Drosophila melanogaster: one gene and its partner. The protein of the gene in region 1 interacts with the protein of each later gene in a pairwise test. Each region holds a gene or a part of one and is shown in the gene's direction. Other genes may lie near its edges.

Region 1 (7,958 bases):
GATTACAAAACTTACCAATTTTCAGGGTTATTTTCGATGGAGCTGGCAATGTTTTGCCATAATTGTGCGATAGCAAAATGTTTTGTGGCTTGAGATCACGATGCACAATTCCTTTGGTATAAAGTGCTTTCATAGCACCAGCTAGAATTGGGGAAATGGAAATAATGGTATACTTTAACTTCCGATCTTCTGATATTTAATTATAATACATTTCGTTGTTCTAAAGTAATATTAATGTTACAATTTATATTGATCTTTGACAATTATTAGTTAGGGCTACCCCTTATATAGGATTTTCGAATCTCACCTAGTTGCACGAGGAAGAGTCTAACGGTATCCTCGCTGAGCGTCCCCTTGACACTCAGATAATCCGCCAAGTCGCCGCCATTGCAATACTGTAAAGAGAAAGGATGAAGAGCGTGAGTGGAGCTGATTGGGAAATTAAATTAAGAGAGACCCCCACGAGTCAAGAGTTCAGCGCGCATATAAATCTTCTGGGACCCCAAAAGACCTCAAAAGCAGAATGCAACCCATGCAAACGAATTAAGTCCAATCAGTGCGAAAATGAAAGAGTCCCGAGATTTGATTCAGTCGGTCTTTCCATCTTTTAGCTTCCAGCTGCTCGCTCGACTTTTGTGCAAATCCCAGTCAATCATAGAAAACGGCAAGGTCAAAGCGAATATGATTTATGGCAATTTTCTGAATCAAGAACTGGAATTAGGGAAATATGTTTATGGATCAGCCCAGACAGCCAGCTGCTTTTCTTTTGTCGTTTGCCCAACAAAGGTTCTGTTCCGGTTTATGTCAGCAGATGCGGAGAAAGAGTTGGGGTAAAAATAAGCTATAGAATATTGAATATGCTAGGGGAATTTACACTTGGAATTTTAAATACACTTCCATGTAATCTTTAATCTTTGAAGTAAAGCACCAGTTAGGTTTTTTAAAAATGCCCGTTCACTGCAGTGATTTTTCCATACTCATTTGAGAATAATTAATAATTTTCTCTTTTAATATATAATATAATATAATATTATAATAATAAGCCATTGATAAAGTATATGATAGTGAATGCTAAACAAAAGGCAACAAAATGTTCAAATAAAATATAAACCTCTAAGCATTCGAAAACAGCAAAAAGGAATATCAGTTATCATGAAGAAGTTTTTGAAAAACTTGAAAATGAAAATAGAATATCCCGATATGGGAGAACTTTGTAAGCAGCCCTCGCTAAAATGTAAATGAAGAGAACGAACCCCTGTCTCTCCAAAATGCCGTTATATTTTTGGCCTGAGCAAGTTGCCTAAAAGGATTTGCGATTTTTGACCTTGAGGCCGCCAATCGAAGACATGACTATAGAATTCCACACGAACACAACCACCAAAAACCAACAAAAGTAATGTGCGCGGCGAACATTTTTATCCGCTTTTATGGATTTTTTGTTTTTCATGAGAAAATATATGGACCACTTACAGTTTAATGAGCAAACAAAGCAACATTAGGCAATTAAACAGCCAATTTGAAATGACAAAAGATTTCACTGCACTCGCTTTTTGTGAAATCGCTAAAATCGCCGAAGAGAAGCGAAGAGCGAAGAACATTAAACAAAAAGTCATTGACATGTAAAGTACATAAACATAAACATAAAAGTAAAAGTTTGAAGGAAATGGTGGAATACTCGCAACGAAGAGGGTTTTTCTTCCTCTGGGGCTTTTTAACAATTTCTAAATTATATGCAATGCCATTTCCCGGCAACAAGTGCCCATGAGTCAGCGATTTATTGAAAAATGCACTTGCGTAATTAATGGGCTTCTCTGTTTTTTCTTTCTTTTTTAAATATTATTTTGAAGAATCAAGTGTGAAGAGAGCGATTCGAAAGCTAAGAGAAGACTCTCTTCAGCCGCTCTATTTCAACTTACTCAATTTTTAAGCTCGCAACTTCTGCGGTTCCGTTCGCAGCTCATTCTCAAATCGACGGTGGCATGAGTCGCACGTTATCGCGCGACAACAAAAAGCCAAGTTAGCAAATCATTAAGTATAATTTAAACGCGATACTCCTCCATTCAGTAGAATTCGATGAGAAAACTCTCTAGTGTAATACCCAATTTAGTACATATATTATCGAGAAAAACGACGACGCGTGTCATTCGAAGTAAGCGCAGTGGACTAAAGGTCAACATATTCTAGGCGATAAAAAGAACGCTGCTGCTATACATTGTTCATCGCAATCACAACACAAAGACCTAGAAACGGGATTAAAACAAGAGTTTAACTTAGCACTCGGTGAAACAAATATTCAAACAAACTTTTCACTCAAATCACGTCCAATTTAATCGCTATGATTCAGCCAGCCAAGTGTTTCACATTTTTCCAGCAAATTATGTAAATAAACTGTGAAAGCTTCCCTTTTTTCATATCAAAAGGCGGGCCGACCGACTTATAAGTCAAGTCCAAAGCAAAGTTCATTACGATCGGCGTTAATTCTAATCAGACAAGTGTGTAATTAATTTTATTAATATTACAAGCCGTCCTAAAGATTTCTTTGTACTTCCAAATCTGCTGCTTAAGTTATTATGTTGAAAATATGGCAATTGAAATTTTAATTTCTAATGTGATGTAATGCTTATTAATTAAGATAGGATTACCCAAACCGATTAGCCTTTATTTACGGTGCTTAAAGTGTGAGTTTGCTCTTTCTGTTTTCATTGAAAACATGAATTCCATAATTGTTACTATTGATAATAATCGATTAGTAAGTCAGAAGTTGGTTAAAAGCTAAGCAGAAATCGCGAGGGTATGAGACAAAGCAATTAAATATTAAAAACTGATAAGATAACCACGGCTAAACATTAAACTTAACATGAGAGAGTTTGGAAGAGAGAGTGAGAGTAAAGAAAAAGAGATAATATTTGCCGCTCTTCGAAGCTCTCACACACACACCTGTTCAGTCAGTCGAACGGAATGGGAATTGTTGGCGAATTTTTGCTCATTCGAGAATCGGCAGCGAGTGGAAAAGTTTGTGCGAGCGGAGTGAAAAATAATTATTTTACTTTTGCCAAAAGTAAGCCGGCAAATGTAAATGGACATTAATCAACTTTGAAGCTGTAATTTCAAAGCAAAACAGATGAATATTAAAAGTGCAAAGTGAAACGAGAATAGCGGTGCAAAAATAGGCCCCTAACACCTAATAAAATCTATTTTCAGCTTGAAAATTTTCACATCAAGTTTGGCAAAAACGACGAAAATGCTATGAAAACCCTGAGATAAACACAAATACAAACAACACGACGCCTTGAAGACGCAGTGAAAACAAAGCTAAACAAATATCAGTAAACAAATAATTCATAATAATGCACGTGTACTACAAGTTTGGATTACTGCTGATATTTTTGCTAAGCGTGAGGTAAAAATCAAGTTGTAATAAATATTTACAGATCTCGATATGTGGAGAAATCACATTTGTTATTCTTATGGGGCTGGAAAATAAGTAATCCATTTATTTATAGAAATCAGTAGACCCTTTCCTAAAAACGAAAAACAGGGAAGACACGGGGCAAAGTTTCCGTTTAGCAACATTCGCAGTGATTAATTCACTAAAAACGAAATAACGACAGGTGAACCAGGGTAACGGGACTTTGACCCGCCCACAACTGAGATATCAATGCCAAATGGAATACTCACGCATGGGGTTATAAAAAAAAAACAGCAACATTTTATTGATAGTCCACGGCAACCGCTCTTAATTGCCGCCTTTAATATATATATAAGGTGCACGAATTTACACTCTACTTAATCATATCGCATAATCTGGTTCTGATAAAAATAATAACAATTCCCCGGTTGTCCGATAATTTATACCGTTATTGCTTATCAAATTGTTTGCTCAGCGTTTTGAATTTCTCAACCAATATCTCAAGCAATATTGCAAATGACATAGAAATTTATAACTGTCTCGATTTTCAGATTTTTCTTTTAATTTACAACTGAAACGAGGTTTAGACATTATCGATTATGTATAAATATTCTATATTCTTGCCCTAAAAAAAATCTTTTTAAATACTTCTGAGTTTTAAAACCTAAGATAAAATTCTTTAATCGTTCTTTGCATGTTAGTACTAGTATAATTTTCCCAGTGCACATAAGCCCATTTCTCTATTGATTTTTGGGCCTTTTTAAACCTTTTCAGCCACTCGAAATCAAATGTCAAAGTAGAGTGCTTTTAAGTGCGACGCTTCCAATTTTAGTCACTTCATTCAAGTAGTCAAGGGAATTACGTCGACTAGGTCGTCATGCTTAGTAACAGTTTAGAGATCTTTCGTAATACCCATTAACTTCGGCGAGCAGCTGAAGCTTGAAGGCAATTCGTAACGTTCGATAAATATATCTTTATTATCCGGTAGGACTATATACCAATTAATAGCTACATATCAGCACTTGCGGTTCAAGTACTCGACTCTATAAAGTCGTTCATTCTGTTCATTTTGGCACTTTTAAGGATTGACAAGGCTCCTCAGCAGCATTCATTGAAACTTCACTCAAAAGTCACGCAATTGAAGAGAACTCTACATGGCAGTCAAAAGACTCACTTGAACTACTCTACTAGCCAATTTACACCTTTTTTTCTAAAAGTAAATACAACCCACTAGAACTGAAGTCGCCGAATGCACGGATAACGAACGATTTAGAATCAGACAAAAAAAAAAATGAAGAGGGGTCACAAATGACAGCAAAAAAATAAAATAAATCTGAAAAAAGTGAGAGTAAACGAAATCGTAAACTAAAACCGGTCGAGTTGTCTCTTTTGCCATGAAGTAAACTGGTTTCATCTGTGCTTTTTACTGAGTAGCTACAGTACGTTTCGAAAATGTAAGGTCAGTTAACAGAAACAAATAAACAACTTTACAGACAATAAAAGTGCTTGAGTTACAATAAAAGAAATGTGTGCTTTCTTTATTTTCTTTAGCTTGAAAGTATATCTATTTGATTTTACTTTATTCTTAAAAAACGAAAGGCAAAATATATTTTACAATATATGCATAATCTAATGAATTGCATTAAGAAGCCTTGTATCATTGAATACTTTTAATTCATTTAAGGGCTATTGCTGTGACCACGACTGTAGCGAGAAATACTTTGTATGTAGGCTTGTTCGCACATGTGAGTGTATTCATTCATGTTCTTTCGCGGAGCAAACATAAACAATAGCCGTATAATGATAGTGGGGAAAACGAATGTTTCTGTGTGGCTATGGCGTGGTCATAACGATATGGGTCAAGAGCGTTTTCAGGACAAATTAGCTAGGTGTGTTCGCCTTCAAGACGTGAGTGATGTAAGCACGTACCGCTTAGAACCCACCGACAATCTAAAGCCAAATATTGACAATTTTGGGTATTTGGTAAAACCACTTAACGAATTCGTACAGTAATTGCTCTATCAGAAATGCGCATTCGTTTGACATATAATTGCCCTGCGTTTTTCTTCATAAGCAATGTGAATTCGTTTATAAGTCGTGGAAAAAACCAAATTGGTATATTGTTGGTTTATTCAGTCGAGACCGGAAAATAATTTAATGATTACTCTTACAGCATCAGCCACACAAATGCCGCTCCAGCGGGCAGTGAGGAGGCAAATCCCCTCGAGGACTTTAATTACGGCGATGATGACTACAGTGAAACAGCGACGGGCGAGGAATCGCCGGAGACAGCAGAAAATAGACTGATGCCACAATCATCCTCCACATCGACCACCACCACATTTCGACCAATATTTAGTGAGCATAACATAAATCTATATATTCCGAACTGAAAAGGCTAATGAATATCGTTTTGCAGATATACCACGACGCAGCAACCATGTCCTGGAGCCCAGTTGCCCGCGCAACTGCCTCTGCCTGGAGGACTTCAAGTTCGTTCAGTGTGCCAATGCCCATTTGACCCATGTACCCCTGGACATGCCCAAAACGGCGGCCATCATCGATCTGAGCCATAATGTGATTGCCGAACTGAGGCCGGAGGATTTTGCCAATCTGTCCAGGGCGGTGGAAATCAATTTGAATCACAATCTGATCAGCAGCATAGACAAGGATGTAAGTGCCCAGCTAATTCTACTAATTAGATAAATTGTAACTAATGTGCTTATTATCTATTGTAGGTCTTTCAGGGATCGGAGCGTTTGAAGCGCCTGCGGCTGGCCAACAACCGTCTAACCAAAATCGATCCCGACACCTTTGCGGCGGCCAAGGAACTAACGCTACTCGATTTGAGCAACAACACCATAACCCAGCGCCTGGACGGATCCTTCTTGAACCAGCCCGACTTGGTGGAGTTCAGCTGCGTCAACTGCAGCTGGACGGAACTGCCGGAACAGACGTTCCAGAACATGAGTGGCCTGGAGGTGTTGCGCTTGAACAAGAACGATTTTAAACAGGTAAGAATGGCGAGCCAAAAGTGCGATAGCACAAGTTATCGCTCTATCGATAGTTGGCGCAACTGAAGCCAAAACAGCTGTGTTTGCCATCGCGCAGTTGTCTATATAGTTGTCCCGCTCACGCTTTTCCATTCCGACAGCAAATCAATACGAAAGCTTTCTCGCCGCTAACAAAAATAATTAAACTGAAGCTGCCGGAACTGGAACAACAGAACATCGAGGAGCTGTGCAGCCTGCTGACCTCCATCGACACGATTAGCTTCCTCAACTACGACATCAGCTGCTACGAATTCGTACTGGGCACCCCCTTCAACGGCAGTCTCATCTATCCCACGGAGCCGCCGCTCAAGGGGATTACAAATCCGCCCATCGTCGCCAGCATCACCAGCACTGCAAAGCCAGTGACCGCCACACCCGCACCGCCCAGAAGTGGTGAGCTATTTCCCATGACTCGTAGATCATCTTGCTAACGTGTCTGTTGCTCACCTCCCATTGTTCGCATTTAGCCAATCGCAATCGGGGCAAAATGGACAACAGCACGGAGCTGGTCAAAGCCGGAATCCTGAGCTCCGAGACCAGCACAAGCGGAGTCAGCGTGGAGCCGCCTGCCGAGAGCCAGACCAATCAGGTGCAGATCTCCCAGGAGGCCATCAACACGCTGCTCATCTGTGAGTACAAACTGCGGTTTAAGGTTTATAACATCAACTATTTTAAGCATCTTGCTAAACAGTTATAGTTTGAGTTATACACCTTTTACTTGCGGTACAAAACCAGACTAATTTGTTCAATTTAATCCACTAGGCATCATGGTTCTGGCCGTGATTGGCATCGTCATCGGACTCATTTGCCGCCAGGATATTGGCGGCATCAAAACCAAATGCTGCCGCACTAGCAAACCAGAGCCAAAGGATCAGGTTCATCCCACTGAGGAGATACCACTGAATAAGCTAGCCTAAGAAAACTTTCCAAAACAAACCGAAACCAAACGATCGAAGATGAAAAGAGAATCCTATCCTTCTCCTCCAGTTTCGAGAACAAATTCCATTTTGACGGCATTTTTGATAGATTATAAATAGGTATATGTATATCACGTATGTATATGGCTAGTTAGTTAACTACTTTGACGCGGTATCTAGCCTAACTATATAGTCTCTCCTACAATGTTTCCCGCACAACAACTGAACCGAATCCGTTGTTAGATTCTAGTTGTTAGTCGGAGTAGGTTAAGCCGCCTAGTCGCTTAGCGTTCTGTTCTTTAGGGGGACTCGGTAAATGGGATCCCGCACCAAAACTCCTGGCACTGTTCTAGTTTTAGATCCCAAAATCAATTTTCATCGCAACACTTAAATTAATGTAAACCCATAGATACACTAGTTGTTAGCTTTAGACTTTTGCCAAAATACAATAAAAGTAATTATTGTACATAGTAAAAAAAAAGAAAACCATTGTTTTGAATTATGAAACCAAAAGATTAAAAAGATTACATCTGATAGACTTGATTATTTACCTATATACTCTCCTCATATCACATTCCT
Region 2 (3,714 bases), on another chromosome or scaffold:
TCATTCTGTGCCGCCTCCTCTTCAATAGACTCCTGCCATTCCATGGGCTCGACCTCCATATCGCTGGCCGTCGAGCCATCAAATGCACTTGGATTTGTGATGTTGCAGGCTTCTGGTTGTTTTTCTATCACCTCTTCGTTGATCTTGGCCACAATATTGTTGTTGCGCTCCTCATATAGCTGCTTCTGCTGCAGCGAAGCTCTTAACAGCATGAGACGCTGGTAGGCTAGGGAGACGATAAGGAGAACATGGGATATGAGTAACTATATGCACCGGGCACTCACCAGTTTGGGTACGTCCCGCCTTCAGGCGATTGGCATCGACCAGGGCTTTTGGCTTTTCCCAGGCATTCATCGCCACCTTAGGCGGAAACTTCAGGAGTCGCTGGGGCGTAGATGTGGACGCACTTGATCGACGAGATGCGGAGGAACTGTGGGTGATCCGCTTGGTGGTCCCCTGCTCCTTCTCGTTGTCCTGCACCCGCTTTAGTTGGCCCTGCAGGCGCTTGAGGCGGTCCTGGGCGGGATGCTGGCTCACTCCTTGCCATATTGCGTGGAAAAGTGGAGTTGAATCTTGGTTCTGGCATTCTGGCAAACGCGCAGTTTGCATGGGTTTTACCATTTGACGGACGTGGCGTGCTGATGATCCTAACCAGCTGGTCGTCGTCCAACGGCCTCAGATTGGAAGACTTTGGCGTGTGCTTACTTTCTCCACCGAGCGACATATTGTGTTCTTTAACATTTGATTTCTAGGAAGTACTCATTTATTTTGTATTTCAATAGGCAATCTGACTTAGAGGTGGAGAAACATCGATGACATCATCGATATCATCGATCTTTTCAAACAATCACAAGCATCGATGTTTTTCGAGGAATCATCGATGTTCTTCCATACATCGGAGGACAAAAGTATATAAATTGGGGGTATAAATTAAATTCGGATATAACTTTGTTATGATTTATTTAAAATACTCCTTATTTATATAAGCAATATTTTTTTTTAATTATTATTTATTAAGTGAAGTAATAAGAAATATTAAAAATGAAAATAATCTTAAATTAAACAGAAACAATGTTTTGTTTTTATTTAAAGCATAAATGTTTATGTTCAAATTAATTTAAGTTATAAACCATAAAATAAATTAAATGAGTATATGTAATTCTACGGCATACATTTTGGCGTGGAAGCTAAATACGAATTCATACAATGAATAGCTTATAACTAAAATTTACTGTAATAATCTATAGCATAAGTTGTTTTAAGCCATTGAATTTGAATAGCTAAAGATTTCATTTATAAAGACTTGAATGCTGCCACCTTAATTGTTGCAAAAACATGTTCTTGAAATAATAAGTTGCCAAGTTAGTTAGCTTGCCAAATAAAATCTTCACTGTTTGCCTGCTCGAGGTAATTTATATTTAAAAGTTCTTTCAAAATCTTGCAAATTAATTGCTTGGTAATAAACAAATTGATTTAAATTTAAATTTAAAAAAAAACTCAAAATTTAAAAGCTAAGCCAATGATAGGAGCCCCCTAACCGGTAGGCAGTATTTTCAAGCGGCGCACATACGGTCACACTGCACGGTTTCGAATCGCTTAACAAGTTTTTGCTTAAAAAGCTTTGCCGAGCACTAAGTAACCACCGCCTTTCGCACCCACAACACAACGCCACCAGCCAGAACAATGATCAAGGTACGTGGGGTGCTGTAAATAAGGATCACACTGCGATTAGACGGGAATTAGTGCAGCAAAAGCGGCCGATGACTGCGCGGCCGGGGTGCAAAGTCCAATTGGGATGTGAACTCGTGTCTATTATAAACATGGAGTCCCATAAATAACTGTATCTCTGCCCACAGCGATGTACCTTGTACCCAGCCAACAATTAGCATTACTTCCCCACCGAGTTATACAATAATACAATGCGGCTTATCGGGAAACTGGACACCGAACGCATCGGTCAGCTGCTTTCGAAATAATAAGATAAACCGGCATCGGATTATAAGTTTATCTGCAAATTGAGGATCGTGCTATTTCTATACTAACTTTAACGGACAACTTCTCAATGTTGTTAAAGATAAGGATCTCAGTCCTACAGATCGTATATTTTGCATTCTATATGCTTATTCTGTTAAGATCTCTAAACATTGATGTTGTAGTTGGGATGAAATGGAATGGAGTGCATTTTTAGAATCTATTTCCTTGGATATATACATATATATATAGTTTCTAACCCCATGCCTTTCCCACCCCCAGAACGCCGTTTCCCTGGTGACCGGAGGAGCCTCTGGACTGGGCCGCGCCACCGCCGAGCGCCTGGCCAAGCAGGGCGCCAGCGTGATCCTGGCCGATCTGCCCTCCTCCAAGGGCAACGAGGTGGCCAAGGAGCTGGGCGACAAGGTGGTCTTCGTGCCCGTGGACGTGACCTCCGAGAAGGATGTGAGCGCCGCTCTGCAGACGGCCAAGGATAAGTTCGGTCGTCTGGATCTGACTGTGAACTGTGCGGGCACAGCCACCGCGGTAAAGACGTTCAACTTCAACAAGAACGTGGCGCACCGCCTGGAAGACTTCCAGCGGGTGATCAACATCAATACCGTGGGCACGTTCAATGTGATCCGTCTGTCCGCCGGACTGATGGGCGCCAATGAGCCCAATCAGGATGGACAGCGCGGCGTGATCGTGAACACCGCCTCGGTGGCTGCCTTTGATGGCCAGATCGGCCAGGCGGCCTACTCCGCCTCCAAGGCAGCCGTGGTGGGCATGACCCTGCCCATTGCCCGTGACTTGAGCACCCAGGGCATACGTATCTGCACCATTGCACCGGGTTTGTTCAACACGCCTATGCTGGCCGCCCTGCCGGAGAAGGTGCGCACCTTCCTGGCCAAGTCCATACCGTTCCCGCAGCGCCTGGGCGAGCCCAGTGAGTACGCCCACCTGGTGCAGGCCATCTACGAGAATCCGCTGCTCAACGGCGAGGTCATCCGTATCGACGGTGCTCTGCGCATGATGCCCTAGATCCGGCTGAGCACTGTCTTGGACCTGTGGAAGTGGCTCGATCAGTTTGCATTTATCTATTGTCTAGTGGTTAAGCTGAAAAGTTTTATTATCTGTCCCGAAATTATGTAATAATTGCTATTAAACACACAATGTCACATTTCAAATTTTGGAGGCGCGTCTGCCTGCTGTTCTTCAACACTGGTTATATATAAGGGATAGCTGGGGTGTATTGGCTGCACAGGTCGTTGCAACAGGTGGATTAATTTTTTGTAAGTCAATTTTATTACTGACTTACTATTTGTGCAATTAATTCTTAAGCAACCATGTATTTATAATAAGAAAATAGTTTACTATCATATTTACAAAGTTGGTCTGAGCTTAAATATTTATTGAATAAAAGGGTATTTCTAAGTCGCTAGCCCTTAAGATTTCCCTGTTGTTCCCGCAAGTTGGCAGTTCCGTTTCAAAATGTAAACAACGAACATTTGAAAATCGCTCTTCAGAAGATAATGCCATATCAGCGCTGCTGAGCCGGGAACTTCGTAGGGCAGCTGGCGGGGATCAGGAGAATGTACCCCCTGTCCAGCAAACGGATCGCTTGGGAACACAAGACGCAGAGCAATTTAAGTGGAAGGAATCCCCGGCAGGAGATGATGCACTGGTGGTCAATGAGGATGCATTTTAAGTGAAGAAGAACGAAATGGACACTGTGCTGGACTG

Evidence for each region. The genes of interacting proteins can lie anywhere in the genome.
Region 2: the proteins of CG42709 (region 1) and scu interact in a two-hybrid assay, tested with the Drosophila melanogaster proteins (one large-scale study listed by BioGRID).

The regions. Positions count from the first base shown.
Region 1 is NT_037436.4:12,788,234-12,796,191, forward strand, and holds CG42709 (uncharacterized protein), read left to right. Parts: upstream 1-1,958; 5' UTR 1,959-2,149; intron 2,150-2,984; exon of another isoform or gene 2,985-3,201; 5' UTR 3,202-3,347; coding exon 3,348-3,400; intron 3,401-5,582; coding exon 5,583-5,767; intron 5,768-5,828; coding exon 5,829-6,082; intron 6,083-6,147; coding exon 6,148-6,423; intron 6,424-6,563; coding exon 6,564-6,855; intron 6,856-6,929; coding exon 6,930-7,091; intron 7,092-7,224; coding exon 7,225-7,379; 3' UTR 7,380-7,851; downstream 7,852-7,958. Other genes in the region: Atg1 (Autophagy-related 1), read right to left, coding at 16-141, 308-395.
Region 2 is NC_004354.4:18,089,699-18,093,412, forward strand, and holds scu (scully), read left to right. Parts: upstream 1-1,560; 5' UTR 1,561-1,683; coding exon 1,684-1,692; intron 1,693-1,856; exon of another isoform or gene 1,857-1,956; intron 1,957-2,253; coding exon 2,254-3,012; 3' UTR 3,013-3,155; downstream 3,156-3,714. Other genes in the region: Swt1 RNA endoribonuclease, read right to left, coding at 1-226, 285-539, 619-724. UniProt on the Drosophila melanogaster protein: Mitochondrial dehydrogenase involved in pathways of fatty acid, and steroid metabolism.